6 linked regions of the Oryza sativa Japonica Group genome follow. The protein of the gene in region 4 interacts with the protein of the main gene of each other region in a pairwise test. Links are inferred from orthologs where the notes say so. Each region holds a gene or a part of one and is shown on either strand. Other genes may lie near its edges.

The links.
Region 1: the proteins of growth-regulating factor 1 (region 4) and GRF1-interacting factor 2 interact in binary tests that used the Arabidopsis thaliana proteins (3 or more experiments, as listed by UniProt). The link is inferred for Oryza sativa Japonica Group from reciprocal best matches to the Arabidopsis thaliana genes GRF5 and GIF2.
Region 2: the proteins of growth-regulating factor 1 (region 4) and GRF1-interacting factor 3 interact in binary tests that used the Arabidopsis thaliana proteins (3 or more experiments, as listed by UniProt). The link is inferred for Oryza sativa Japonica Group from reciprocal best matches to the Arabidopsis thaliana genes GRF5 and GIF3.
Region 3: the proteins of growth-regulating factor 1 (region 4) and GRF1-interacting factor 1 interact in binary tests that used the Arabidopsis thaliana proteins (3 or more experiments, as listed by UniProt). The link is inferred for Oryza sativa Japonica Group from reciprocal best matches to the Arabidopsis thaliana genes GRF5 and AN3.
Region 5: the proteins of growth-regulating factor 1 (region 4) and shaggy-related protein kinase GSK1-like interact in binary tests that used the Arabidopsis thaliana proteins (3 or more experiments, as listed by UniProt). The link is inferred for Oryza sativa Japonica Group from reciprocal best matches to the Arabidopsis thaliana genes GRF5 and BIN2.
Region 6: the proteins of growth-regulating factor 1 (region 4) and ethylene-responsive transcription factor 12 interact in binary tests that used the Arabidopsis thaliana proteins (3 or more experiments, as listed by UniProt). The link is inferred for Oryza sativa Japonica Group from reciprocal best matches to the Arabidopsis thaliana genes GRF5 and ERF12.

What each region holds. Positions count from the first base shown.
Region 1 is NC_089045.1:25,865,520-25,870,576, forward strand, and holds the start of GRF1-interacting factor 2, read right to left. Parts: upstream 3,112-5,057; 5' UTR 3,008-3,111; coding exon 2,921-3,007; intron 1,794-2,920; coding exon 1,717-1,793; intron 524-1,716; coding exon 436-523; intron 350-435; coding exon 1-349. UniProt on the Arabidopsis thaliana protein: Transcription coactivator that plays a role in the regulation of cell expansion in leaf and cotyledons tissues.
Region 2 is NC_089046.1:19,344,867-19,349,885, reverse strand, and holds the start of GRF1-interacting factor 3, read left to right. Parts: upstream 1-1,874; 5' UTR 1,875-2,029; coding exon 2,030-2,104; intron 2,105-3,751; coding exon 3,752-3,828; intron 3,829-5,019. UniProt on the Arabidopsis thaliana protein: Transcription coactivator that plays a role in the regulation of cell expansion in leaf and cotyledons tissues.
Region 3 is NC_089037.1:30,928,157-30,932,955, forward strand, and holds the start of GRF1-interacting factor 1, read right to left. Parts: upstream 2,991-4,799; 5' UTR 2,756-2,990; coding exon 2,666-2,755; intron 1,149-2,665; coding exon 1,072-1,148; intron 329-1,071; coding exon 244-328; intron 143-243; coding exon 1-142. UniProt on the Arabidopsis thaliana protein: Transcription coactivator that plays a role in the regulation of cell expansion in leaf and cotyledons tissues.
Region 4 is NC_089036.1:33,335,010-33,339,882, forward strand, and holds growth-regulating factor 1, read right to left. Parts: upstream 2,784-4,873; 5' UTR 2,586-2,783; coding exon 2,363-2,585; intron 2,267-2,362; coding exon 1,304-2,266; intron 1,189-1,303; coding exon 1,181-1,188; 3' UTR 683-1,180; downstream 1-682. UniProt on the Arabidopsis thaliana protein: Transcription activator that plays a role in the regulation of cell expansion in leaf and cotyledons tissues.
Region 5 is NC_089035.1:5,785,026-5,790,113, forward strand, and holds the start of shaggy-related protein kinase GSK1-like, read right to left. Parts: upstream 2,973-5,088; 5' UTR 2,870-2,972; coding exon 2,771-2,869; intron 2,597-2,770; coding exon 2,513-2,596; intron 1,975-2,512; coding exon 1,915-1,974; intron 1,822-1,914; coding exon 1,549-1,821; intron 1,464-1,548; coding exon 1,389-1,463; intron 1,305-1,388; coding exon 1,248-1,304; intron 790-1,247; coding exon 649-789; intron 545-648; coding exon 494-544; intron 417-493; coding exon 321-416; intron 155-320; coding exon 71-154; intron 1-70. UniProt on the Arabidopsis thaliana protein: Negative regulator in brassinosteroid signal transduction pathway important for plant growth. May be also involved in auxin signaling pathway. Phosphorylates and increases the degradation of BZR1 and BZR2/BES1 by the proteasome.
Region 6 is NC_089039.1:24,541,796-24,545,326, forward strand, and holds ethylene-responsive transcription factor 12, read right to left. Parts: upstream 1,989-3,531; 5' UTR 1,921-1,988; coding exon 1,351-1,920; 3' UTR 1,132-1,350; downstream 1-1,131.

The sequences.
Region 1 (5,057 bases), on a different chromosome or scaffold from region 4:
TGTCACCGCCTGCGTCGTTATCTGCTCCCGCACTCTTGTGGCTCTCGGTCCCGGAAGGCTCCGAGGTTGCATCCTGCTTGTTTCCTCGGCCATCTACCGAGCCCGGTGCTGCCGTCTGAAGATCGGCTGCGCGAGCAGGGTCAGCAACTGGGATAGATTGCATGCCATTGACAGTACCTGGTCTCATTAGCATCTGGCCGGGGAAGGCTAGAGCCTGAGCTTGCTGTTGCTGGAGTTGCTGCTGCTGCTGCTCTTGCATCTGTTGTGGGGTTAAGGGAGTTCTTGGAGGGAACATCGGTACTTGGGACATGTAATGCCCAGCACCTGGGGTAGCACCAGGCTGCATCATCTATTCGGAGAAATAGTTATTTGAGTGAACTTAACAGTAAGGAGAGATTGAGGCGGTGTTATGCTGACATGTGGAACATAACTAACCTGAGGGCGACTTCCTGGATTCTGAGGTGGTTGGGCATCTGCAATGGCAGCCAGATACAAGAGATTCTTTTGAAGCTGAGCTTGGTACCTAAAATATGAGAGCATGAAAGATAAGCATTGTTACAAGATCATTTAGAAGGCTGCATCCAAATAGGCAGATCACATTACGAATAATTCAATTAAGACAACTAGACAAGTTTGGTGCATCAAAGAAGATTAGAAATCTTGCAACCTTCTTCCTTGACAGATGAAACTAGCATGGCAAAATCAAGATGGAATGAGTAATGCAGATGCTCAACTGTTAAACTAATCTTGTTTTTTCCCCCAAACTTCAAAAGAATTTTCTGTTGTGAAGTGAAAGATCCAACAGTAGTAGAATACTACATGCTGGTATCACTAGGATGATTTTCATGCCTTGGGGTAGTTACTATTCAGACAAAAAAGATGGGAGCTAAGCAGGAGTTCCTTCACTAGAAGGTGTAAAACGAAAATGATTGTTACACTTCCAAGAACATTAAATTTAAAACAACTATCTGCCCACAAAAACTTATATCTTCATGGCATCATGTTACACGTAGGCCCAAACTCCACTGAATGCATGTAGATAGGAAAGATCCATCAATAAAGCAATGATAGATCCCTTATAGGACTTCATAGTAGCACTTGGATAGAAGATCAAACTCCTCATCCATTGCAACAATTAATAAGGCATTCAGCTGAAAATCTAACTTTCCATTGCATAGCACAGGCCAACAGATATATACGATATCATACACTGGATAGACCAATAGAGTAATTAAGCAAGGTGTTCCAGATGATCAAATCAGGCACAGAAACAAGATTTTATTCTCCATATTATAGGTCCTCAGTAGGGAAGACAGTGAATAAGCATATACTTCATGCAAGTCAACTAAACTTCAGATGCCAAAACATATTGGCCACTGTCATTTAGATCCTCCAAATGGTAAAGTAAATTTCAGATGCCAAAACTTATTGACCACTGTCATTTAGATCCTCCAAATGGTAAAGTAAACTTCAGAAGACACAACTATCAAAACTTGGCACTTGTGTGCAATCCTTAGTGCATGATTTTAACAGAATAAGATCAAATGACTTCAAATGTAGTTCTGAAAACATCTTCCAAGCCGTCAACAATTGCAGATTTCCAATTTTAGGTCATTTACATGAAACAAAATGGTCAAGATATGGCAGCCACCTAGAAGCATTTCATATAGTAATCCAGCAATAAAGCCTTTCAAAGATGTTTAGCAAGCAACTTACTGAGCACATTCAGCCAACTTCCCTAGGTTTTGATTTTCCAGGATGGCCAAAATTAGCTGTTTATTTTCATCCAAATACTGCAAAAGAGAAATTGAATAAGTATCTGAAGTTAATGATGTTGATGACCACGCTATAATGCTAATCTATGTGTAATCTTAAAATAATTCATTTATCGTCTCTCTGTAAGAATTGTATATGCAGTTTCATTCTACAATGGCAACATGGTTTATTTCTTGAAAAACCCAAGCTTAAGTTAATGCTAGCCATTCGATATTAGGTTTCTGATGTCAATGCTATTGTGATCAATAGTGGACCAATGATTGAGAAAAGGTTGATTTCTTTCGTATCAAACTTGATGCAACCACAACTACATGATCAGAGAGCTGACATAATTCAGATGTGTGATTCTGTTGTAACTGAAATGTAAGGGGCCAAAAGGTGTGTAGCATAAAATTTTGCAGGCAGAGTTCTTTTATGTTGACATGTTATCATCAATATTGATCAGGTATAATAACATGCATGAACATTTTCTTATAACAGTGGCAGGAGCTGTGCCAATTATTAAGCATATAAGAGAGAAATTAGCATATAAGTAGGGCATAAGGTAAATTGAAGCTACACAGAAGGGCAAAATAGACCACATCAGTGGTTACAGAGCACAAAAAAGAACAAAACTACTAACAAGAAAAGGGGCAATGAAAGCAGAAAGCCGTATTCAAGAACCCCAAAAAAAGGGGAAAACCGAACTTGTGGACTACTAAATTCCTATCATCCTCATGCATTAATGCATGCTTATCATTTCAACCGTATCATGCTTTTCGCAATATTACAGTATTACCAAATTTGGAGACTGGTGGCTATAGATTCAAAATTTGGTTCAACTGGAGACCACACCCCTTACTCCTATCACATTTTCATGCCTATTTCGACTTCTCTTAAGCTGTTTAAACCTCTAATCCCCCATGCACAAGCGTCTCCACTCTCTGCAAAAATGCGTTCTTATTTACGCCTCAGTGATTAATCCCCCCATTTGATTAAAGGCAAGACAAGAACAAAAAGGCTCAATACTTGTCCACCCGGGCACGAAAAAGATCTGATCTTTGGCCGAAGCAATCGCCAAAGGAGCCATCTTTTCCAGAAACCCTAGCGAGATAGAGAGAGAGAGAGAGAGAGAGAGAGAGAGGGTGAGGGAAGCGAAACGAACCTTTTGGATCTGCTCGGTGGTGATGCCGGCCGCCGGCGGCACCGCGGCGGCGGCGGCCCCCGCCGGCATGGCCATCTGCTGCTGCATCTCGCCGCGGCGGCTTCTTCTTCTTCTTCTTCTTGCCTCAGTTTCTTGGTCGAGGGTGGATTTGGTGGGTGCTTTGTGCTTTTCGAGGTTTCTCCAGTCGTTTCAGCTTGGTTTGGTTTGTGTTCAGAAAGAAAATTACCTGAGAGCGAGGAGGAGGGAAGATTACGAATCTACCCTTGTTGGTGGACAATGAGAATCGTTTCTCTCCCACCTCCGTCTGCAGTTGTGTATTTTCGTCTCTAACGTTTGATTGTTCATATTATCTAAAATAAATATTATGATTAGTATTTCTAGTCTTATCATATGATAAGATATGAATAATACTTTATGTGTGACTAGTTTTTTTAATTCTTTCATAAAGTTTTCAAATAAAAAAGACAGTCAAATATTAGACACGAAAAATCATAATTGTACTTATATTGGGATGGATATAGTAGTAACGGCCACATAGGTATGGTTTGAGTTTACTCGAAAAAATAGGTACGGCACTAAAAACCAAAAGAAAAGAGCATGATTAATTCAGTTTTAATTATTTTAATTTGAAAATTGAATTTATCGCATATTTTAATATATAGAAAGTTTTCGCGCAGAACACATAGTCTATTCGTGTGAAAAATGTGCTAACGAAAATCGAGATAGAATATATGTATCTTAATCAGAAAAATAGGTCACTTACACGGTTTAGGCACGTACTTCCATCCCTTCACACATTTTCTGATAAAATAGAGAAAATATGGTAAATCTTTGATCTCATTGATTTTTTATTTAAAGAGGCACCTATACGTACATAATATTTATGGACACTAAGATTTAAACACTGATGAGGAGATTTATGGACCCATTCATTCATCACCATCCCTGAAGGTTCTTCTATGTTATAAAGGATTTTCACATGCAAGAACAAAAATATAATTCATTTTGTGTAGAAATTAGAATTTTTCTCACTTTTCAAATGGAATACTTCCTTTGTTTTAAAATAGGACATTGCTGACTTTTAGGCCTGATATTTTATTATTCGTCTTATTTAACTAATCAAGTGTAAAATATAAAAAAAATTGAGTCATGGTTAAAGTATCTCAAATGATAAAATAAGTTACAACAAAATAAATAATAACTTTTAATAAGACGAATTAGTGATTAAACATCATGTCTAAAGCCAATCATGTAGTACATTTAAAAACTGAAGGGGTATGATATTCAATTTTGAGCATACTATTGTTGGCAACTACGTGAAATTAGTGGATGACAACCGAATATTGATACAATATTCACCCTTTTTTTTCAATGGAACCTTAATCTTTGTAAAGGAACTTCCCTCGTATTCATGTGGACATACTGTAATTTTTTTTTCCATTTAAAACATTTAGAGAAAATATATGTTCCATAAAAATTTACTACCAATGCTAGTAGAGAGCATGATATATTCTCTTTCGTTAGCATATGGCTGCAGAATGGAGAGTGCCAACATTTGCTCTCCAATGGAAGCAAACTTTTGTGAGTGAGAGTGATGGGAGGGGCAAATCTGTCGTTTCATCGAGTGCACTGTTACCGTTGTGATGGCTGCCGCTGTTGGAGAGTGGCTGGCAACTAGCATGGCGCGCTGCAGCAACTCTTGGAAGAAAGTACCTGAAATCCATGTGAAGGCGTAGAAGGTGAGACACGTTTTCCCCCTTCACCTTTGCCTCTTCTTTTCTTCTTGGTTGTCTCACTTCAAAGAATGGTATACAGATTATGTAACAATACAGCTACTCTACCTGGGCTATATTTGTCTTGAAAATATAAAAACCAGATGCGTAGATTAGTTTTAAAAAGTATTTCAATAAAATTATATATTTGTTGATATTTCTATATATATATTATAATAGAAAATAGTTGTCAAAGCTACTTTTTGAAGACCGTGTCCTTGTCCAAAACGACAAGTATTATCAACCCGGAGGGAGTAACTATTAGCTATAAATGAATCTAAGAGTTAACATGTATAGTTGATTGAGAGCTACCATATGTACGATATTTTGCCTACGGAGCTCGTACGATGTAATGTTTTCAACGG
Region 2 (5,019 bases), on a different chromosome or scaffold from region 4:
TTAAGATCAATCGCCCACTCATATATATAGTTATGCTAGCGCTTGCACAAAGCGCGACTGAGAGAGAGTTTATGTTACCCGAGTTAAATTACATGAGCATGTAGCACACTTGGTAGTCCCACTGGAATTTGCTTATCCATATAACATTTGGTTATTTCAACACAAAATAAAACCATTTGATGTGTGAAGCCATGAGGAATGTTGCATGGTTCTACACTACTTTTGTTTTTAGTGGGAGAGGGGTCCCGTGAGAAGGTATTATTAAGCTACTACCCTTACTCTATTTTTTTAATGGTTGACAACTTTTTTCCACTTGAAAATATGTGACATAATAAACTTTGAGGTCTGAGATTGAATTTACTAGCAACAATTTTTTAATCTAAGGTCGAATTTATTATCCTCCTCTTACCTCCTCTTATCAAATATAGGTTACATATTGCTTGAGAGCTTTATATCTATGTCTAACGATGTAACTTACAAAGCTATCTAAGTGTGCTATTGTGTAACCCGCAATTGTAATCGGTGAACTTTATGTCCATATTTTCCTAAAAGATAATGAGTGACTACTATGTTGTAACTTGCACTCTTGAAGTTTGAAAAATTCAATTAACCTTGTATGTAAACCTCTGCGATGTTTAGAAAAAAGAAGAGACTACACCAACTAGTGACATAATTGATAGCCGTGTTAAAACAACATGATGATGTGTCCATAGACTCTAAAGATCATGCAAATCCCAAATGCAAACTAGAGTGCTATCCTTAACAACGGTAGAAATGATTTATATAGAAGTGAATACAAGATTATATAACTTTCATCATTAACAAAATTTGCCTTAACATAATGGTTATGGCTCTTGGTCAAGGACAAACCAGGATACAAATATTCCGTTTGAACCACCATCCAATTATGTTTGGATCATCAACTATAGTCACTCCAATAGGTCCATCATCTTTTCGCTAGGTGAGACTTATCCAAGCAATCTATTCAACTAGAGAAGCACTATAAGAAAAGACTATTACTATCTAGAACTCACATGTAACAAATTTAAAAATCATCATGCCATAACCAAACCTCATGTTTTTAGTGCACCAAACAACACTCAAGCGCTCATGGAATCAACATGGATTATTTAACCAAAAGTCGACCCCAAGATTTGCCAGAACCGAGGTGAGTGAAATATTAGGAGTGTTGGGTACAAATCAATTGACCATATTGCTAATATAGCTGGTTAGTTCGGAAAAAAGATGCTATGTCTTGGCAACGATAGCGCTGGATATTAATATATTTTTCTATAAAGTTGGTCAAAACTAGAAATTTTTTTTTGACTCAGAACATAACTAAAACACCTAAGAATTACAATATGTAACAGAACGGAGATAGTATTGGATTGAAATTAGAACTCAATAACAACATATTGAGATGAAAGCAAACACGTTCTTTTTCAATTTTTCCTACTCCAACTTTAGAGCAAGAGAGTAAAAGCACTAAATACATTGCATTGAAGTCATAAATGCACGCCTTCGCACACTAGAACTACAATTAACACACATGTACGTTTTCAATACGAATTAACGAAAATATTGCCCAATACAAATTTAACGAGGACACATATGATTTATTGCTCACTTCCGTCTACTTGTGTGCTAGAGGTTTGCACGCGTAATTAATCAATCAATAATATACCCTCTTCGTCCTTAAAAAAAACTTAATCCTAGCAACGAATCTAGACACAGATTCGTTGTTAGGATTGGATTCCTTTCGAGACGGAGTAGTAGTAATTATTAAAATCTTTTGAGCAAGAGGGGTATACTAGTAATTGCACCTAATCCTAGGAGGAGATGAAAAGGGAAAGCCTTCAAACCCCTCTCCTTCCAGATCCATTCGCGAGATTACTAGGGAGCGAATGTTCGCTCCATTGCTGTTCCCAAACCCTCCAAAGTCCAAACCCCTCTCCTCCTCCTCTCCAACGCCATAAACCACAGAGAGGGGGAGAAGAAGTGGAAGCGTGAGCCGCCGCAGCCGCACGCGATGCAGCAGCAGCCGATGCCGATGCCCGCGCAGGCGCCGCCGACGGCCGGAATCACCACCGAGCAGATCCAAAAGGTGCCTCCTTTGGGCCCACCCCCCCCCCCCCCCCCCCCTTTTCTCTTCCGGTTCTTGGCCCCGGTTCGGGTGCGCCGCCCTCGCTTCTTGGGAGGGTTTTTTTGGGGGGCAAAAGATTTGATCTCTTTTTTTATTTTTGCCCGGCCTCCTCGAATGGTGCTAGGTTTGCCAGCGTTCGATTCGATTAGGGGTGGGTTAGGGTCTTAGGGATATTGGATTGGTAAAGATTCTGGCTTTTTTGATTAGTTTCAACTTAGTTGATGTGATTTGAAGAGTATTTGACGGGCATTGGTTGAAGTTGGTGTTGTGAGCACCGCATGGTTGGCGTGCTCGTCATCTGACTCGATAAAGAACGACTCGTTTGGGTTATCCGGGCGGTAGAGTGATCTGTAATTATATGGTGATGATGTTGGTTTGATAGGAGATATGCTGACTTGTTCTCGGTTTATTGGAGAAGATGTATCATTTGTGATAAAAAAAAACTAAGTTATGAACACCTGGAGTACAACTTTTGACTAGATTGGGCTTGAATCTTTGCTTGTGTAGCTTATGTTTATTGATTGCAATATTTCTACTCGACATGGAACTATCCATCATCCATGACCACTCCAGCCGGAACTGAACTTATGTTTTTTTATGTGTTCTTTAGTATTCACATCATGACAGTCATCAGTCATTGTCTATAAAGTATTATTCTATGCCTGAAACATTTTCCTGCATTAATATCAACTTGGCACTTGTATGGAACCATTTCTTTGTCTTAGTGCGATTGTCCTGTTCTTTTGTAGAGTATGCTATTCTATAGCAGATTTTAGTTATGTTTCTGTTCGTGGATGACTGGGTTTATTGGGATTTGTTGAAGTACAGGTATACTCCAGTCCTTGTGGGCTTTAGATGTAGTTTAAAACTTACAACGGAGAAAAAAAAGTTATGTTAACTGACTTTCAACAATATCAACTTTCACTTAAATTCTTAAAGAAAAAACTCATCGCTTTGTTAGTTGATTTCTGTCTCGTTTGTTAATTTTCCAATCTTTCAGGCGTTGCTCTTTTCTTTTGGAGCTAATAGCTGTGATCACCTAGCAGTTCATGTCTTCATGTCTAAATGGCAGATTTGTATTGTGTGCTCCCACTAGATTCAGACATGCATGCTTTTTTCTTCTTAAGGCTGGTGATGCATATTCTGCTTAAATTGGGTCATGGTTTGCTCTCTTGTACTAGAATAAGCTAAAAATAGCGCACTAATGTCTCTCTGCTAAGATGAATAAAATAGCAGCTTGGGGCCGTTTTTTGAACCACTTTACTTTGCAATCCATATTATTAGGGTGCTCATGCTTATACAGGTCATATTCTGGCATACATTTTCACTTTGCATACTTGTCTGAATGATATTTTCCTTATTATACTTGGATTAATGCCCTGCACCTACTAGCATTGTAACTTGACTTTCAGATGACTAAATAATCTCTTGTGCTGACTTTAATCCTTATGTTTCCTGCAAACTGCATAAATTGTAATAGTGCATTTCTAAAATTACTATCTTGTTCCTTATATATTTCACATGGTTCGCCCATTTGCATTTACTGATTCTGTGGTTTCATTGTTGTAAATAACCATTTTCCCTTACAGTCTTAATTCATTTTTGCAGTATCTGGATGAAAACAAGCAGCTTATTTTGGCTATTTTGGAAAATCAGAATCTGGGAAAGTTGGCAGAATGTGCTCAGTATGTAAACGGTCTTTTATGAGATTTTACGTTATGACATGATCCTTTTTGTGTGTTAATATTAATTCATCCTGCTTAGTAGTCTCGTAATTGCATTGTTGAATAATTTCTCGTTAACATTAATATCTTCCTTTTTTGTTATCTACACTCAGTCCCTCACCATTAGTTAATTGTATACAATTATTCATTTATTGTGCTGCCGTATATAACAATGAAATTGCCACTCTGCTGTTGTTATTTCAAATTTGTGTTTATGCATTGAATAAACAAGCAACTGAAAACTGCTGCGATATCCAATGATATTTTGGCCTGGTTTCTTTCTCAGCCGTTAGGTTTAATATTTAGAAGATCTATGTAGCTCTTGTCACTGATGAAAGCATACCATGCTTGGATGGTTCAACACAGAATAAACAGTATTGCTAAACAGCAAAACATGGATCATTCAAGTATGGCTTTTTGTGCAGTACGAGTTATAAACTGCAGCTGAGTTCTTGTTTTGTACCATCTTGAGGCTTGAGCCACTATACAAAATTAATCCTAGAAGGGTCCTGGCATTGTGGCATATGCAAAGTTCATATGAACACTCTATGAACTGTAGACAGCAAATATGATAACATCTGTTTTTTAAATGATAATGTTTGATTAAATTTCTATTTTCAAACTTTTAGATGATATGTTAAATTGTTAATTATCTGACTATAATACTGTTTTTTGGTATCTAATTATATAAGTCAGGGTTTTTTTATGATAATTTTACTTAGATTTACATAGAGTATAGACCTTCATCTCCTGACTCTTCGGGACGTGTACTGGTGTGGATTTTGACACAATCCATGCACTACGGTGAACGAAGTATTACAGTGCTATACACTGAACACATATTGGCATACAATTTCGAATATAAACTGGTTGGTTCTCACATGACTAGTTTATGTAGCGTTGCCTATAGTGGTTCTTTATATTCAATGCAATAAAAGCATGTATTCGAAGACCGTGTATCTTTCAAAGAATATGCAAGATGTATCATCATTAGCAACTATATGTACATCCTCACTCTTCAGCCAATATATTCCATGTTTGATTTGCATCTTGTGTCTTCTGCTGCCCAAAGGATCAATTGCTTTTTTTTTGGGTGCAAACGAAGCAAATTACCAGCATGCTAAATACCTAGGAATTTCCACTTGCAATGGC
Region 3 (4,799 bases), on a different chromosome or scaffold from region 4:
GCTGCTGCTGGAGCGGCGACAGCGCCGGCTGCGCGTACATCATCGAAGACCTCGCCGCCATCAGCGACTGCGGCGCCATCATCTGCGCCGACTGCTGCGGCATGTACCTCGCCCCGGACTGCATCATCAGGTTCGACGGATACTGCATCCATGCACAATGCAGCCGCCATTGATGACTTCACTCATCCTCAAATCAAACACCAACAAACACGACTCACTGATCATCGCCAGCAGCACAATTACCTGGGACATGGCGGCCGTCTGCGGCGGCTGGCTGTCGGCGATGGCGGCGAGGTACATGAGATTGTGCTGGAGCTTAGCTTGGTTCCTGCAGCGACAGACACGCGAGGATGGTCAGCTTGTGAGCTGCCTGTAGGGCAAATGCAAAACGCCGCGCCGCAAGCGAAAACGTGGGTGGATTGCTCAGTCGATGCAAAGCTCCAAACTGATGTGTTCCCTTCCCGGTACAATCCAAGAAAGATAGCAGCAGCAGTGAACAACAGGAGAGCGTATGCACATGAACATGCATGCAACTCGTATTACTACTACTACGTGACATGATGATGATTGAAAAATGAGGAGGCTTTGGATCGAGTTTGCTTCTGTGCGGTGGCTGGAAAAGATACTGTGGAGGATGGCAGCAAACTGTTCTGTGACATTGACAATACACACAACAGAAATAGTGCACTGAACAAGGAACAGTACTTTTCTAGTACAAGCCACTCACTAATAATTTATTTAACAGGAGGGTGCTAGGTATAGTATTAACCTGCCCATGAGTTAACACTAATTCAACCATCATTGTGGAATCACCTGTAACACCTAATGGAATATTTCACCAAAGAACATTGTACTACTTGATTAGTTGATTTATCCAGAATACTCCTAGTAGATTCTAGTTTCTTGAACCCTGACTGAACAAAAGCTAGACATTCCTTTTGCAGTTAACAAAGCCTAAAGACTATATTACCAAACAAGACATCTCTGATAGAGCAAAAGCTACAGAAAGAACAGCAACTTCAGAGTTTTCACAGCACTCCATGATAACAGGGAGATCAAGATCAAACTCACCGAGCGCACTCTTCCACCTTCCCATTGTTCTGGTTGTCAAGGATGGCCAGGATCAGCTGCTTGTTCTCATCCAGATACTGCACAGTTTCAAGGTTGAATCTTTGCATGTTAATACGTCATTACATTTCAAAGTCTTTATCATCAATACTAACAAAAGATAGTACTGCATGCATGCCTTGAATATATTGCAGTTCATTGCACAAGATTTGGTTGGTACTATCAGTTTATCACCAATGACATATGCATGAATATACTCCTAGCACCAATGAAGTACTAGACTGGAGATTGGCGTCCTGATTCTAGAGCAGAACCACACAAGATCTGATTGCCAGCCTATCATCTCAAACTGAGGACCAATCATGAACTGGCACGATAGCATGCAAGCAGGTTATCAAAGAATAGGCCAAGCAGACCGGGCCCCTGGTTGTTATATCGGCCTTTAGCCATAAAGCTCACATCTTTTAGGGGTCTAACAGTCAAAACTGCAACCTGTGGCATTCTAGTACAGCACAAGCCAACCTACATTCCCAGTTTCTCACCAACATGAACAAGGACCAGATCTTGTATGGTATGTCCTTCTGAAGAAAAAAGAAATATTTTTTAAATCAAAGATTGCAAATTGGATTTCGGATATGGAAAGGAGATATTTATGTAAATCTCACAGCATTTCTTGCTCCCTTTTGTTGGACGATTGCACATGATACATTTACATGGAAAGGGGGCCAAGATTTATTGGTGGTCTGCAATGGCAGATGCAGGGAACAGGTCTGGCATGTTTACTAGTTGCCAAATACGAGTGGTGGGGGAGACACGACCATTGGCACAAGTCACCAACCAAAACAAGCTAAAAATAGGATTTAGATGGAGAGGGGGATAAAGGATATGTAAAAAATCACCGCATCATGTGACTATGTGAGCAGCAAGAGCAAAAGAAAAGAAAAAAAAAGGACCAAATGGACAGCAACAGTTTGAACTGCAGAGGAAATCAGATGTGAGGGACCATGTTTGAAGACATGAGAATACAGGGAGAAGACTAGAGGACGAGAAGATAAATCAACATCATGAATATAAGAGGATCATGCCCTTTCTATTTGACCAAACAAAATAAAGAAAAAAAAGGCTGCCCTAGAACTATTTTTTAAATATGATGGAAAAAACGTGTTGTTCGACAAATCATGTTGGGAATTAACGGAGAAAGCGAAATAGATCAGATGAACAAGATGTAAGAACAGAGAAAAAAAAAAGAAGGGAAACTTTAGTTCATTTCAGATTTTTTTTTGCCAGATGTTTCAATGGATACAAAAGAGGATCAACAACCACGAGCAAACAAGAAAGATAGCATGAGCATAAACGCATAATGAAATAGAAAAGGGGAACACAAGAAAAGATAAAACTTCTTTTTCAGATACTCACAGACCAACCAACGAATCAAGAACGAAGAAAAAAAGAGTTTGATACAAATGATTCAAGAGAAAAAAAAAGAAAGGAAAGAAGAGAGATCACGGAACCAAAAACAAAAAGCAAGAAATGAAAAACAAGAGAGAGACAAACAGACGATAAAATGGGAGAGATTTTGGGGAGAGGGGATCATGACCTGCTGAATGAGATCAGTGGTGACGGTGGTAGGGGAAGCATATCCCCCCATCATGCCCTGGTTCATCTGCATCAGGTGTTGCTGCTGCATTCCAATCAAAAACCTTTATACCCTTCCCCCCTCCTCTACTCCTCACAGCTGCAGCAAACTCCTTCCTTTTCTTTTCTTCCCTCTGCTTCTTCCTCTCTGTCTCTCCACTTCCTCTCCCTCTGCCGGTGAAAAGAGAGAGAGAGGAGCAGGAGAGGTTTCTTTCTGGTTTCTTGGGGGGTTTTGGGCGATGATGAGAGGAGGAGGGTTTTGGTTGGCCGTCTCCTCCTTTCGCTTTGCTCGTTGGTTTTGGAGTGGAGTTCTTTAAAAAGAGGGTGAACCAGTTGCAGAGATTTTCTCTTCAGTTTTTTTTTCTTCAGTTTTGGTGACAAAGTTTAATTTAGTGGATCGTTTTTACCATGCAACTTTTTACCACACCTACCATAAAAGCTCAGTAACTTTCTATACTTGGACACCTGCACATTAAAGAATTGGGACCACCACCACACATAGGGGAAAAAAGATAAAATTAATAAAGCCTGATTCGTATAGGCAGGTTGTCAAAAAAAAATAAAACAAAATTATGGCTGCACGCTCGAAGAGTATTTATGTCTGGGTTGATATGTCATGTTCAGGGTTTAACAATGGTTGTCAACACGGCAATTTTCAAGTTCAGGGACTGCATGATCTGATGAGCTTGTGGGCAGGATAGATTTTTGGAGTACTAAAACAACAGCAGATTCTGTGTCGAAGAACTCGTCGGTCACGAGTACAGAGAAGAATTCCAACAGGAGACGGCGTGGCTTGTTTGTACAGATGTGCTATATATGTAGCCTCCATACGACACATGGAAATACAAAATACAACTGGGAAAAAGAAAAGAAGAACGTTAATTCCATTCTAATCAGAGTTGTTGATGGTGGTAAACACCCAAAGTTATCGCGAAATGGATCCTCCTTATAGAGTCTTGCCTGCAATTCATCAATTTTTTTCCTCGCTGGCTCTCTCCAGAGATAAACTTTTTTTTGAGAGAGAAAATCTCCAGAGATAAACTGGAGTTACATTCTTTAAGATCGTATAAATTGGGCCACATCGATTTCATTTTTATCTTGTTGCAGTTACTTGACCAGGATAAGGATTAACAATTACTTTAACTTTACATTAATAAGCTAATCATGGTCAATATAACTTATACCCTACCGCAAAAGTAGTAGGGCCAAAATTGGCTAATATTTTGGCACTGAAAAAAAAAGGTAAGGTGCAGAAGCAAAACACCCCTAAAAGTTATATTTAACCATTAGACTTAATTTCATAGAGACAACTGCATTTTCAAACGGAGCAAAACTGTTAAAGCATTCACATTACTTTGAAGTGATGAGTAGCTTAGCTCGGACTCGCCATGTCGAAGCTTTGCCTGTAGCTCGGCTACATCCATGTCCCCATGAGACTTTTTCATTGCTTTGAAGAGAGCATGGTTGCCTTTCAAGTTTCAACAGGGCTGAGGCAACTCTTGCTCAGTAGCCAGGACATGGATGGCAGCTGTGTTAGGCTGTGTTCGGAAGTACGTGATACCAACCCACACAGTATACACGGAAAACGGAGCGGTTCATTAGTGCGTGAATTATTAAATATTTGTTTTTTTCAAAAATAGATCAATAATATGATTTTTTAAGTAACTTTCGTATAGAAACTTTTTTTAAAAAAAAAAACACCGTTTAGCAATTTGAAAAGCGTGCACACGAAATACGAGGGAGAGGGTAGTACCAATGAAGGCTCGATATTTGTTGGGCCTCACTTGTCAGTTAGACCCAAGGCCATAGAAGGACACAAGTCTCATTGTGCAATCTAACCATAAGTAGAGTCCACAGAATAAGTTGGCATGAATGGAAAGCAACTAATGTCGAGGATAGGACCTTCACATTGAGGTCGGACTCCTCTCTCCCATGTTGCACAACCTCGTTTCGCCCAAGAATGGGTGTCCCTTATTTTCTCTACGTTCCTTGCTAGGCTACGGCTTACACGTACGTGACGTGAAATCTGTGCTCGACCGAATGACACATACACACATTGTTAAAATTGCGTCCCCAAAACATATTTAATTCCTTGT
Region 4 (4,873 bases):
AGCAGGGGTGCTGGTCAGTCATCACAGTCCTCCATCTCTCCCTCTCTCTGAGTGTCTGCAGGAAGGTGCAGGAGTGGGGGCACTGCAGCTACTCCTAGCTCTGCATCCAGCTTCTTGCAGCATTGGCCGGTCAATGGGAAAACGGTTCAGGGGAGAATAGACCCTGGGAGAATCTTTTTGTTTGGGACTTTGCAGTGATAACCCTGAATGCTAATGATCGACAGCCTAAACGGTTCAACAAGTGATCAACCTAGTAGTAACACTTAAGAAGACCAATTTGGTACTTGCACAGTGTACTCAACCAACTGACGAAGTGCAAGAGTACGGTATTAAGCATTTCCGTTGCTCAGGAGCAAAGCTGTTTTACGTTGCACTGGTAATGTACTTAAGGAGGGGAGTGGAGTACACCTAGCAATACTACTACTCCTACACCGACTTGTCAGAAAGCATAAAGTATTCTCTGAAGCAGGATGGCGCTAGTGAGCTTTTCAGCAGAATCCAGAGATGTGACTTACTCCCTCCTTCTTAAAAAAAAAAAAAACCGTGTCGACCGTCCGTCTTATTTAAAAAAAATATATAAAAAAAATAAGTCACATATTAATCATGTTTTATCATCTAACAACAATAGAAATTTTAATTATAAAAAAATTTCATATAAAACGGACAATATAAAACGGACACGTTGACCCAAGAATCCACGGTTTGCTTTTTTTTTTTTTTTCGGAGCGAGTACTATCACAGGCAGAGGAATCGGAAAGAAGAAAAAGGGCGTTCACAAAAGCGAACACGCTTGTCTCACAAGCTGCTGCAGATATTACAAGGACTGACAGGAACCAGGCAGAAAATCTATTCCTAGTTGGTTCAGGAAGAGTCTAACCTAATTAATCAGCCCGACCGCATCATTCTGAGGCCATTTCGGAGAAAATGTAGGAGTAACACTCGAAGCAACATTACAAAAAGCTCAACGAAAAGAAGTGGGAAAAAAATAAGAATATCATCAGAGAACTCGTAGGAGGTTTCGGCCTGTCATTGATGAAGTCCTGAAAGATCGAAGCGTGATTAGTTTGGAGATGCAATGATCGATCGATCGATCCTGGAGCATCAGCATGCAGCTCGCACGCCGTGAAAGAAGCTGTTGATTTCTTCCGCGTGTTGATCACTTCTTGGCTTCTTCAAGAGATTAATCATCTGCAGATTGCACAAGACCAAACAGGAAGCAAGTTGGATCATCGTCAGCACGGCTCGCCATAAGAATCAAGAAACGGTTCTGATCAGTGGAGACGAAGGTTAGTACTCTACGCACCATTGTGGTAGCGGGAGGTGGTGGTGATCGGGAGGTCGTTGGCGGCCATGGGGATGGACATGGACAGCTGCGTCTCGCCTTCGAGCCCCATCCAGGAGCCCTTGCTGTTCTTCTCATGCGGCCACTCGTCGAAGAAGTGGCGGAGAGGTTTCTGCGCCGCCGCCGCGTGGTCGTGGCCCGCCGGCTTCTCCAGACGGAGGTCGGCGCCCAGGAGGAAGCAGTGCTGCTGCTGCTGCTGCTGCTGCTGTTGCCGCCTCTCTTTCTCATCGTCGTCCTCTTTTGAAAGATCAATGGCGTACGGCGACGCCGCGGTGTGGCCGTAGCCGGCGCCCGGGAAGAGAGGCGTGGTGCTCTGCTTGGGCTCCATGCCGAGCTGCTTGAACTGCCACTGGCCGTGCCCGGCGGCGGCGTGGTGGTGCTCCCTCTCGGTGCCATCGGAGAAGAAGGCGTGCTCGCCGTGCACCTCCTTGGTGGCGTGCCCGTACGCGTACTCCTTGTGGTCCATGGAGTAGTAGGACGGCGGCGGGTGCGGGTGGGTGGTGTCGAGCTGGAGGTGGAACGGGCTCACCTGCGCGTGGTACGCCGCGGCGGCGGGGGTGCGCGCGGTGGCCGCGGCGTAGGGCCCGCCGTAGAGCGCCTGGTACGGCGCCGCGTCGTGCGGCGCCGGGCGGCTGTAGGAGGGCGCCGGGGAGGAGGTGGTGGTGGTGGTGGGGGCGACGCCGGCGGAGGTGTTCGACGCGGCGGAGGTGGCGGAGGAGGACGGCGGCGGCGGCGTGGCCAAGGACATTTCCACAGGCTTTCTTGAACGGTTCTTGCCACGGTGCATGTGCTTCTCGCAGTACTTGGAGTCCGGGTACGCCTCCTTGGAGCACCGCCACTTCTTGCCGTCCGTACGCCGGCATCGCCCTGGCTCCGGGTCCTCCGCCTTCCGCCCAAACCCCATGCCAAAGCAACCCCACCCCACTGCATTCCAAAGAAAACACCAATCACAATATGGACTTTGTTAGCATCGGCAACAACGCGTACGTACGTACGTGGAGGAGGATGTGTGTAACGTACGTGAAGGTTGGGGAGGGAAGGCGAGGGAAGGGGAGGTGGCGAGGGCGGAGTCGAGGAGGAAGCTGCGGCGGAGGGGGAGGATGAGGTCGGAGGGGATGGGAGTCCCGGACGCCATGTACTTGTAGATGAGCGCCTGGTGCTCCAGCTCCTGCCACTGCGACGCCGTGAACGGGTACCGACCTCCGCCGGCGCCGCCGCTCGGGCGACCGCTCATCATCATCATCTCTGCAACAACTACTTCAGCTGCGACCGACCGCCTCTTCACCGACCGGAAGCGAGCGAAGCGGTCTCGCAGTACAGGCGCCGCGGGCGCGCGCTCTAGCTGCTCGGGAGATCACGCGGATGGGGGGAGGGGTGAGGGTGGTGGTGTGCGGCGAGTGGAGCGGGAGAGCTCTCGGTGGCTGGGGTTTTGTAATGGGCGGGGAAGGGTGGGGTGAGGGTGGGAAGCGACGTCCGTGCGCATTTAAGACTTGCGAGCCGGAGGCTGTTTCCGGATCCAGAAGAAAACCCGAGGGTAATACTGCGAAATGCGCTCCTGCCTGCCAAAAATATCAGGTTTCGGCCATTTATTAATACATTTTCTAATTAATAAACGGTGGGTTTTAATTAAACGAATGTGAATTCTATAAAACGTTACTGTACTACTACGTAAATGCATCAACTATCTTTCAATACAGTCAATTAGTCCTGCATAAAAAGTATATTTTACCTTTTAAAATTGCAATATTAACGTATAGAGTTGGATTATCATGAGTCTAACTTATATATACTCCCTCCGTTTCTAAATATTTGACGCCATCGATTTTTTTAAATACGTTTAACCATTAGTATTATTTAAAAAATTTAAGTAATTATTAATTCTTTTTCTATCATTTGATTTATTGTTAAATATACTTATATGTATACATATAGTTTTACATATTTCACAAAAGTTTTTGAAAAAGACAAACGGTCAAATATGTGCTAAAAAGTCAACGGTGTCAAATATTTAGAAACAAATGGAGTATTTTACGTATGTACGGCTTAGACGACGGTTAGAAAGAAAATCACTCGGACTGGCATTTTATTGTGACATCATATGAACCAGATATGTTATTGAAGTTCTAGACATTTGTAAACTAGAAGGTAATTATCTAATTAATTAAACTTTAAAATGACATATCAAACATATTATACGAGCCCTATAGTCCAAATAAGATCTAATCTTTTTTTACCGCTTCAGCGATTAGGGTGTTTTTAGTGAAAAGTATTTCAACAAATATATTATAGTGTGAATTAACACTAATGCGTTCGTCAAAATATAATAACCCACGAAGTAGTTGACACCAAGTATGTATTTTCCTGTTTAGCATGACAGTTTTTTTCCCTATGCATGGCACCTTTCAAGTTTTGCCATTTATATTGTCGGAATATAACCGAATATGCAAAGTGAGTGTATATGTTTACAGGTGGGTGTACGTTTATAATGTGTTTTTTTTTAAAAAAAAACCCAACATCTTTAGTTAAGGTAGTGATGTTATTACTTCAACTGTTTCTAGGCCGGATAGAAATTTATAGATCTTTCACTTCTCATTAACAGTGAGACATTTACACATAGGGTGTGTTTAGTTCATGATAAAATTGGAAGTTTACTCCGTGTTTAGTTCGAAAATAATTGTTCAAACTTTTGACTTTTCCATCATATCAAAACTTTCCTACACACGAACTTCCAACTTTTCCATCACATTGTTCATATTTCAACCAAACTTCTAATTTTGGTGTGAACTAAACACAGCCTTAGTTGAAATTGTAACAATGTGACGGAAAAGTTGAAAGTTTGTGTGTAGAAAAGTTTTGATGTGATGAAAAAGTTGGAAGTTTGAAGAAAACTTTGAAACTAAACTCGGCCATAATAGTTTTTAGTCAATCACTTTCATTCTCAGGACTCGTTTGTCCAGTGGTACTATGGTTGTATTTAGTTTCTGAAATTGGGGAGAAGTTTGGGGAAAGTTGGTAGTTTGGAAAAAAAGTTGGGAGTTTACGTGTGTGTAGGAAAGTTTTAAATGTGATGTGATGTGATAGAAAGTTAGGAGTTGGGGGAAGTTTGGGGTGAATTAAACAGGGCTTTGTTTGCCACTGGCTACTGTTCTTTTGCTTGGACAAGCGACATGCTTTATACTCCTTCCGTCCTTTTCTTTGTGAAAAAAAATGTCAAGAACAAACCGTAGGAGTAGGAAGAATGGAAAATAACCCTACCGCACAGTACAGATTTGTCATAAAAGGATGCTTGCAACCAAGCAGCCCACGTAGTAGTACGTGCGTGTGAGCGAAGCAGAGGACATATTTTTTTTTTCTTAAAAGAAAAACGTAGGCGTGCGAACGATGGCCTGTTTGAATAGTTTCCGGATATTTAACTCCGATAATTTATGTCCCGGGTACAGAAGATAGGTCATTCAGTCAAGATGCAGAGGCAGAGCAGAGAGTGCGCTGCAGAATCTGCTGTGCGCCCCCCTCGTGGGCGCGCGCAGCCGT
Region 5 (5,088 bases), on a different chromosome or scaffold from region 4:
TATCCTAGCGCTTAGCGAAAACAATAGATTTATAGATAATATAAAACTAAGCAAACGAAAGAAAACTCACAGCAGTGCAGCGTAGACTTGGTGAATATTGGAGAAGACGGGAAGCAAGGTCTATGGCTTCTGGAGGCATTCTCTTGTGGAAAATCTGGTGGTAAGCGAAAGAACAACAGATGGATCAGTTAAGCAGCTGCAGATACATTTTTTTTATTTCAAATTAAACATGATGCAGAAACTGGTTTTGAAGTGGCCTACAATGCCCTGCAAGTAAAATGGTATGAGGAAGGTGATCCAATATAAGAAAACATGGCTACCTTGTGCCAAGGATGAGCCTTAATCTGAGGAAATTTGAACTCAGTATAGTTGGGGTTCATGCATCGTATTTCCTCACGGGTTGGAGTACCAAGAACCTGCCATAATATCAAGTTAACACAAGAAATACCCGTGGCAAAAAAAAAAATGTAGCTTGCACAACATCATGCAATACCTTGATTATCTCTACTAGCTGGTCAACAGCACTCTCTCCAGGAAACAGTGGCTGACAAATACACATTATGAAATATAATCAGAATAACATCACAGCATAATCTAATCAAGGAACCTGAATGTTGCAGTTCCTTAGATAAAGATATAGTGACTAACCTGACCAAGAAGTAACTCTGCAAGAACGCATCCAGCTGACCATATGTCAATTGAAGTTGTATACTCGGTTGCACCAAATATGAGCTCAGGAGCACGATAATAGCGAGAGCAAATGTATGATATGTTCGGTTCACCAGGAACCTGGTGGAATAGTACAAGGAGATCATCAATCTATTTGTTAAAATAGCAAAATGAAGAAATAACAGAACTAGGGAAGAGAGGCCAACAGTTATAATCCAAGCTCAGGAATTCATCATTATAGTCCTAGCTCAGCAACTTTGCATCCAACTTAATAAACTTAACAATCCTTCGACATAATAACAGCACATGATAAAACCAATTTGGAAATATTGATCATGATAGGCAATTTCTTTTATTAACTATTGAGCTATCTAAAAAAGTCTATCCCAGCACAGTGCAAATTTTAACTTCTATCACAAATCAATCATGAAAGGCAAAAGCAGCATATCTACACGTAAAAGCAACATGACGAAATAAACCACTTATGCTGTCAACATTATGACTAGCCTACCACTAGAATAATTTCAGCATACATCAAACCACTGAGAAATTACTCTTAAGGGTGGAAATCAACATACCAGAACCTTTGCACTTCCAAAGTCACATAGCTTGACTTGATGAGTGAGAGGATCAACCTGTATCAGCAAGCAATTAGAGACCAGTTCAAAACAAACAACCAAGCAAGAGAAGTAATGTAGCCTTGTTCACATAAGTCATACCAAAACATTTTGTGGTTTCACATCCCTGTGGCAGACTCCTGGAACAGTATGAATATAAGCTAACCCTCTGAAAAGCTGCAAGCATAGCAAAAGTATCTTTAGAGAAGCAATGAGAAGCATAGTGGCAATCAGAGAGGTGTTAACATGGTGGCTGACAAACCTGATAGATGTAAAGCTTCACATAGATCAATGGCATCCGCTGGTTAGCATTGCTGTAGTGCTTGAGCACACGGTAGAGTGTCTCAGGGACGTACTCCATAACAAGATTCAGGAACAGCTCATCCCTGCTTGTGGTTGAGAAGAAGCAGTGCTTCAGGCAGATGACATTGGGGTGTTCCATTGCGCGCATAAGCTGCAGTTCACGGTTCTTGTAACGCCGGTCCTGCAACACCTTCTTGATGGCCACCGTTTCCCCCGTCTCCAAGCACTTAGCCTAAATGTGAAAACTAAATCAGTTTGATTCAAACATATCAAAAAATGTACAATACACGGTAAGCATGCATTTCCATAAGACCAAGCATCGTACCTGGAACACAATCCCGAAAGAACCAGTTCCTACAACTCGCTCCGCCATATAACTAATTGTCTGCAGTTAAGGTAAGAAAAAAATCGCATGAGAAATCGCGCACAATATCTCAAGATTGACGGATTCTATGTTGTGCATCAGAGTTCCAGCTTATCATGACTAACTAAAATTAGAAGTGAAGCATTTATTACCCCCTAGAAACAACAGGATAGACTATGAAATAGCGGACAGAAAAAGAAAATCATGCTTCCTAAAATGTACATTATCCTCAAGTAATTGAATAACCAAACATTTAATTGAGGAATACACTACGTAATTTTATCAGTCAAATGCTAAATTGTTTACAAATCAAAACGACAACTGTATCTAGTCAGCCCCAAACCCACAAAATTGCGATTCCCCGACGAATCAGCACATAGATAGCTAACTTGATCAGCCGAACACTACCAACAGCTTAGAAACGGCTTAAGAGAGCACAAATCCTTAGCGAACCAAGTGATTGTTACGAGCAAGGAAGCAAGCGAAGGGCGCCAAAACTAGCACATTCCACTGTACACAAAGAAGAACAGAAACCAAAAAGACCCCGAAAAAAGCTCACCCGCTTCGGCTCGCCGTTCTTGCCGCCGATGGTGGTGGAGATGATGTGACCCGTCACGGCGTCGCCCCCGCCCTCCTCCTTCTTCTGCAGCACCTCCAACCAAAAAAAAAAAAAAAAAAAAAAAAAAGGCGCCGCGAGACACCGGAGAGAAAACCAGCATTAGCCCAACGACCACCGAAACCAGCAGATCGGCACCGAGCCCCAGCCCAGATCCACCCCGACACCCCAGATCTGGACACCCCCCTCCCCACGGGTTACCTTCTCGCTGATGCCGGCGGTCGCCGCCGCCGCCGCCACGGCGGCGGGGGGCGGTGGCGCGTCCAGCTCCATGGGCTCCGGCCCCGGCGGCGCCTCCATGCGGGGGGGAGCTGAGCTGAGCTGGGGAGGGAGGCGGCTGCTGCTGCTGAGCGTTGGTGCTTGGCTTTGCGGGGGGATGGTGGTGGTGTGCTTTTGACCGGTCAGGGAGGGGAGGCAGCAAGGCTGCGGGGTGTTGTGGTGTGGTGTGGTGTGGCTGCTGCCGGTGAGGCCGGCTTTGGAGTTTGGACAGATGGGGAAGTGGTTTTACCGATAACTGTGCTGACTCCTCCAGCTAATAACTGTGCTCAGTATGATATTTTTGAAGGGTTTTCTTTCATGAACTGGGATGTTTTATAGGAGGAATTTTAGAGGATTTGCATGAGAGATGAACCAAGGTGAAAATCTTGAGTTTCTTAGTTTAGAAGGAGTCTTTGGTGGTATTGATTAGGATAAAGAATTGGGTATGGATGACGAATGGAGATGTGGTACGTCTTTGGCATGAATTTTGTTGATGCTTAATTTGTATGTTCAAATGGCGGTTATATAGAAATATTTTTTATCATCGTACGGTTTTTATCGGTTTCATCGTAATTGTTGCTTTCTTAAGGTTGTATCGGGATAAAAAGCTCGGGCTAGAATAAGTCAAGAAGAATAGAGATGTTGTACATCTTTAGCATGAATTTTATGAATGCTTCATTTGTATATTTCAATGACTGTTAAGTAGAAATATTTTTATTAACATATGGTTTTATGTTTTTATCCGTTTCATCGTGATTGTTGCTTTCTTTAGGTTGTATTACGATAAAAGGTTGGGACAGAAAGAAACAACTATACGGTACGTCTTTAGCATGATTTTTATAAATGCTTAATTTGTATATTTCAATGACGGTTACGTAGAAATATTTTTGTTAACACGTGATTTTGTCCGTTTCATCGTAATTGTTGCTTTCTTAAGATTGTATCAGGATAAAAAGTTGGGCCGGAATAAATAAAGAAGAATAGAGATGTAGTACATCTTTAGCATGAATTTTATAGATGCTTAGTTGGTATATTTCAACAACGGTTACATAGTAATATTTATATTAACATGTGGTTTTATCTGTTTCATCATGATTGTTTCTTTCTTAAGGTTGTATCAGGATAAAAAGTTGGGGCTGAAAATAGTCAGGAGGAATAGAAATGTGGTACGTCTTTAGCATGAAATTTATGGATGCTTAATCTGTATAGTTCAACGACGGTTACGTAGTAATTTTTTATTAACATGTGGTTTTATCCGTTTCATCGTGATTGTTGCTTTCTTAAGGTTGTATCAGGATAAAATGTTAGGGTTGAAAGTAGTCAAGAAGAATATAGATGTGGTACATTTTTAGAATAAATTGTATGGATGCTTAAGTTGTATATTTTAGTCATGTTACATAGCGATATTTTTATTAAAATGTGATTGTATTCGTTTCATTATAATTGTTGTTTTTTTTTGTTGTATCTAGATTAAAAAAAACTAGGGCCAAAAGAAACTAAGAAGATTAAAGATGCGGTAAGTCTTTAGCATGAATTTTATGGATGCTTAATTTGTATATTTCAATCACGGTTGCATAGCAATGTTTTAATTAACAAGCAGTTTTATATGTTTCATCGTATTAGTTGCTTTTTTAAGGCTACTGATGCTACTTATCTATGATTTTTATGCAATTGATGCTACTGTTTTAGATTGCAGAGATATTATCCACTAATTTGATCTCTCTAAACAAACCATCGGACAAGATGATTCACTGATACTAATAGATTTATCGTGGGAAACATTTTCAGTTTTAGAGGATTTGTTTGAAATATAAACTAAGTCATGTGAAAATCTTGAATTTATTTATTTAGAAGGAGTGTGTAATATTAATGATCATGATAAAAAAATTGGGGTTGAGAACAGAATATAGGTGTGATACTATGAATTTTATAGATGCTTAATTTTTATATCTCAATCATGGTTAAGTAGTAATGTCTTTATTAACACAAAGTTACCGAAATAACATATTCCGTGATAATCCTCATTTCTAAAAGTGCGATTGAACATATTCGGCATAAATTAGTGCCTATATATTCAATTTAGTAGTAACTACTTTTTATTTCAGCATGATACAAATACATCGATATATTAGAGGTGATTTTTTTTCTTATTCATGTGCTGCCGGTTGCCACTACATTGTTTTGGTGACAGTCGGTGACTCCTTGTTATTACACGAGGAAAATATTAAGTGCATGATAACTACAGTTGTATATCGACACAT
Region 6 (3,531 bases), on a different chromosome or scaffold from region 4:
CTATATGTAGATCAATTTGGAATGAAGGGAATAAAGCATAATACTCCGAGTAAAGCATAATACGAGATGTTCCAAAGGGTGGATGTAGAAAAGCACGTGAACTGGATATTTTTACAGATTACCCTTGGAATTGGCTGATTATGATATCTGCATCGCAGGTTTATATAAAATGCAGGATTTGAGAAAACGGAAAAAATAAAACAAATATAATTTTCATAGTATTGAGATCCATTGAATTTCTTATGTTTTTCATATAGATGAAAAGGCCTATGAATTTTCCCCTGTAAGCAAGTTGGACGGGCAACTTGTCACTTTATTATCGGTAAGATTCGACTTTGGTTTCCTGGCAAGGAGACATTAGCCACGTCTGTTGATAGGTGATTAAAACCATAGTTATCTAAATGGATCAAATGTTGGGCACAGTCTGTAGCGGACGCATTGTTTGTTTTATGTTTTTGTTTATAAATAAAATTATAAAATTTAAAACTTTATTTTAGAGTTGATTTTATAGATTTTTTATCATAAGTTATTTTACAATATCTAATTTAAAATCTAAGGACACATGGAGTAGTTAATAAGCTGTGCGCATAACTACAGAAGCATAATCGAACGTGTGTACTAGTAATACTACAGGAAACGACAATCGAGACAGGGTGGACTCGCGAGCCATTTTGTGATGGGACTTTTAAGCAGATGGTCAAGTCAGTGAGGCCGGGAGCTCGGGACGCCGGGTGTGCCATTCATCTCGAGTTGAATGTCTTTTTACAAACCCTAGTTTAGAGTTTAAACAGTTAAGTAAATTAAGGCTGCATTGATATCAATTGATACTGTTAATTTTTTGAAACCCCATTGATACTGTTAATTTTCACTAACGGGGCTTGCATTGATAGCACTAGTAGTTTAGAGCGTTAAGTATATTTGATTTACTGATCAATATGTATAACTGAAATCTTTCTTATAATACCAGTACTAGTATTTTACATGAATTAAAATTTTGTAGTACTAGCTTTTGACCAACCAAATGTTCCGAACCAACCGCTCACTCGCCCCACAACCACCATCACCATGCAAGTTCTCAGGTCAGTAATAGTACTAACCTCGAGTGAGAAAACCGTCTTATACTACAGAAGAGATGAAAAGCTGTACGCTAAAAAGTTCTTAAAATGGAAACAAGAACAGGGGCAATGTGAGAACGCTAAACTTTCCTTAAATAGTAGTACGTATGTACACAGCCGGACCAGTGCTCTCCACTCCCACATTAATCGGTTACCCCTATCTACTAGTGATCTCTAAGCTTGATCCTTGGTCCTAGTACTACCCAGTGATGCTCTACTCACGTACGTGTCGAGATCACGAGCCGAACAGCAGCGCCGGCGGCGGCTCGTTGAGGTCGAACGGGAGCTCGCCGGCGCTCGGCCCCGTCCGGAGCTCCAGCGTCGTCGACGGCAGCGACGCGGCGACGTGCGCCGCGACATGGCCAGCCGCCGCCGGCGCCATCGCCTGCACCCTCGCCGGGAAGTAGACATAGTGCCACGGCGAAGGGTGGCTGATGTCGAGCCCGCCGAAGTGACCAGGGCCCTGCGGCGGCCGCGGCGGGTGCATGCGGTGGTGAAGCTGCGGCAGCTGGGCGTGGCTGTGGCCATGGCCGTGCCCGCCGACGCCACCACCACCGCTGCTGCCGCTGCCGAAGTTGGTCCGCGCCTTGACGCCGCGGAGCGCGACGGCGGCGCGGTCGTAGGCGAGCGCGGCCTCGACGGGCGTGTCGTAGGTGCCGAGCCACACCCGCGTCTTCTTCCACGGGTCCCGGATCTCCGCCGCGTACCGGCCCCACGGCCGCTTCCTCACCCCGCGGTAGTGCGCCTCCGCTCGCCCACCTCCCACTACTCCACCGCCTCCTCCCGCTCCCATGTCCAGCTCCATTCGCCTCCACGAGCGAGAGCCTGTGCTTGCGCTGTGCCTTGACGGACGGATCGGCAGCTGCCACTGCCAGCGACAAGCAAGTCTCAGCGACCCTTTATACGGGAGCCAAATCTATAGTGGCTCGCTACTACTACTAGCGCGCGGTGGCCGCTCGCTCTCGCGTCGGCTTTGCGTTTGCGCGCGCCTCGTGAAATGGGGAGATGGTGGTAGTACTAGTACTAGTAGGAGTAGGTGTCTGCCGCTCTGGGGCCTGCTGCGTTTTGGGGGGTTTGAGGCTGTCGCTGACCAGCGCGGCGCGGTGTCCGTCTCGGCCTCGGCCATCAAGCCCCAGCCGCCGCGCGATTTGACGCCCCGAATGGTCTAATCGCCGTGACGCCAGCCCTACCACCACCCCCAACGCCCTATCCGTCCTGCACGCCCTACCCCCCCTGCACACTGACCGCACGGGCCCTCCACCTCCTCCATACCTCTCCCCTGTCCGTTACGTCGTGTTGACGCGGCGGACTAGCCTACCAAGGGTGAAAGCGAGATACAGTACGGCCCAGGGGACGTGACCGGGCCCGTGACGAGTGCGTACGTACGTTTACTAGTACTCCTCCTACGTCCCGACGTGCCAGCGGCAGCAGGCGGATGGAAGGAAGGGAAGAAGGAAAGCAACCGCGGCGGAGGTAACGTGTGGGGTTGGCGTTTCGGCGTAGGGGGGGCGACGTGCCGTGGCACGATTCGGCCCCCGGGGTCGGGTTCACGTGGGCGAGGAGGTCCAGGAGCCGTGTCGTGGCGCGGGGGGCAGGCAGGCAGGCAGCACCGCGGTTTGCCGACGCGTGCGGCGCGGCGCCGCTCAACAGTAGCAGTCGCCGCGGCGCGCCCCGGTGGGTGGGTGGCCTATCCGGCACGGCGTTGTCCGCGCGCACGCCGTTCGGTGGGTGGGTAGCCAGCCGCTTGTCACGCTCCAAATTACTCCTCGTCCGGAGTAGATTCGCAGCGCCGCGGGCAGCAGTAGCTATCTCGCGCCTACCCGACGATGGATCGGCTCGACCCGTCCAAATCTCGTGGGGAATTGAATGTGGGAAAAAATACTTTGGGGAAGAGACGGGCATGGCATGGCCGCAGCTAGCTAGGCTGCCGCGGCAGGAGCAGCAGCAGCGGGAGGAAGGGAAGGGAGAGAAGGGGGGGGCCTTGGGAACGCGCGAGGCTTGACTGCCTTCTGCTGGGTGGGACAGCGGGAGGACCTGTCGAGCGCTGATGGTGCAGCGCAGCGAGCGGCGACGACCCCTGCCTTGGGAAGAGGCGTACCATTGATGAAAGGCCAAAGGCGTTGGCACAGTGCGTGCGTGTGTACTGTATAGGGTAGCCATGCCCATGCTGTTTTGGATGGACCGGCTAGACCGGTAGTACTGCTCCAGCCCGGCCGGCCGGCCGGCCGGCCTCTTTATTATTCCATGCATTTCTTTGTGATGCTCCCTGTCAGTGCAGCATTTTATTTTACCCTCGCCTTTTCAAATGAAGATAATGTTGCGGTGCTAGTAGACAGTTATAAATTGCACAGACAACTGAAAGATTTAATCATGCCAAAAAAAAAGCAAAAGATTTAACGAATGGAACGTGCAGAGC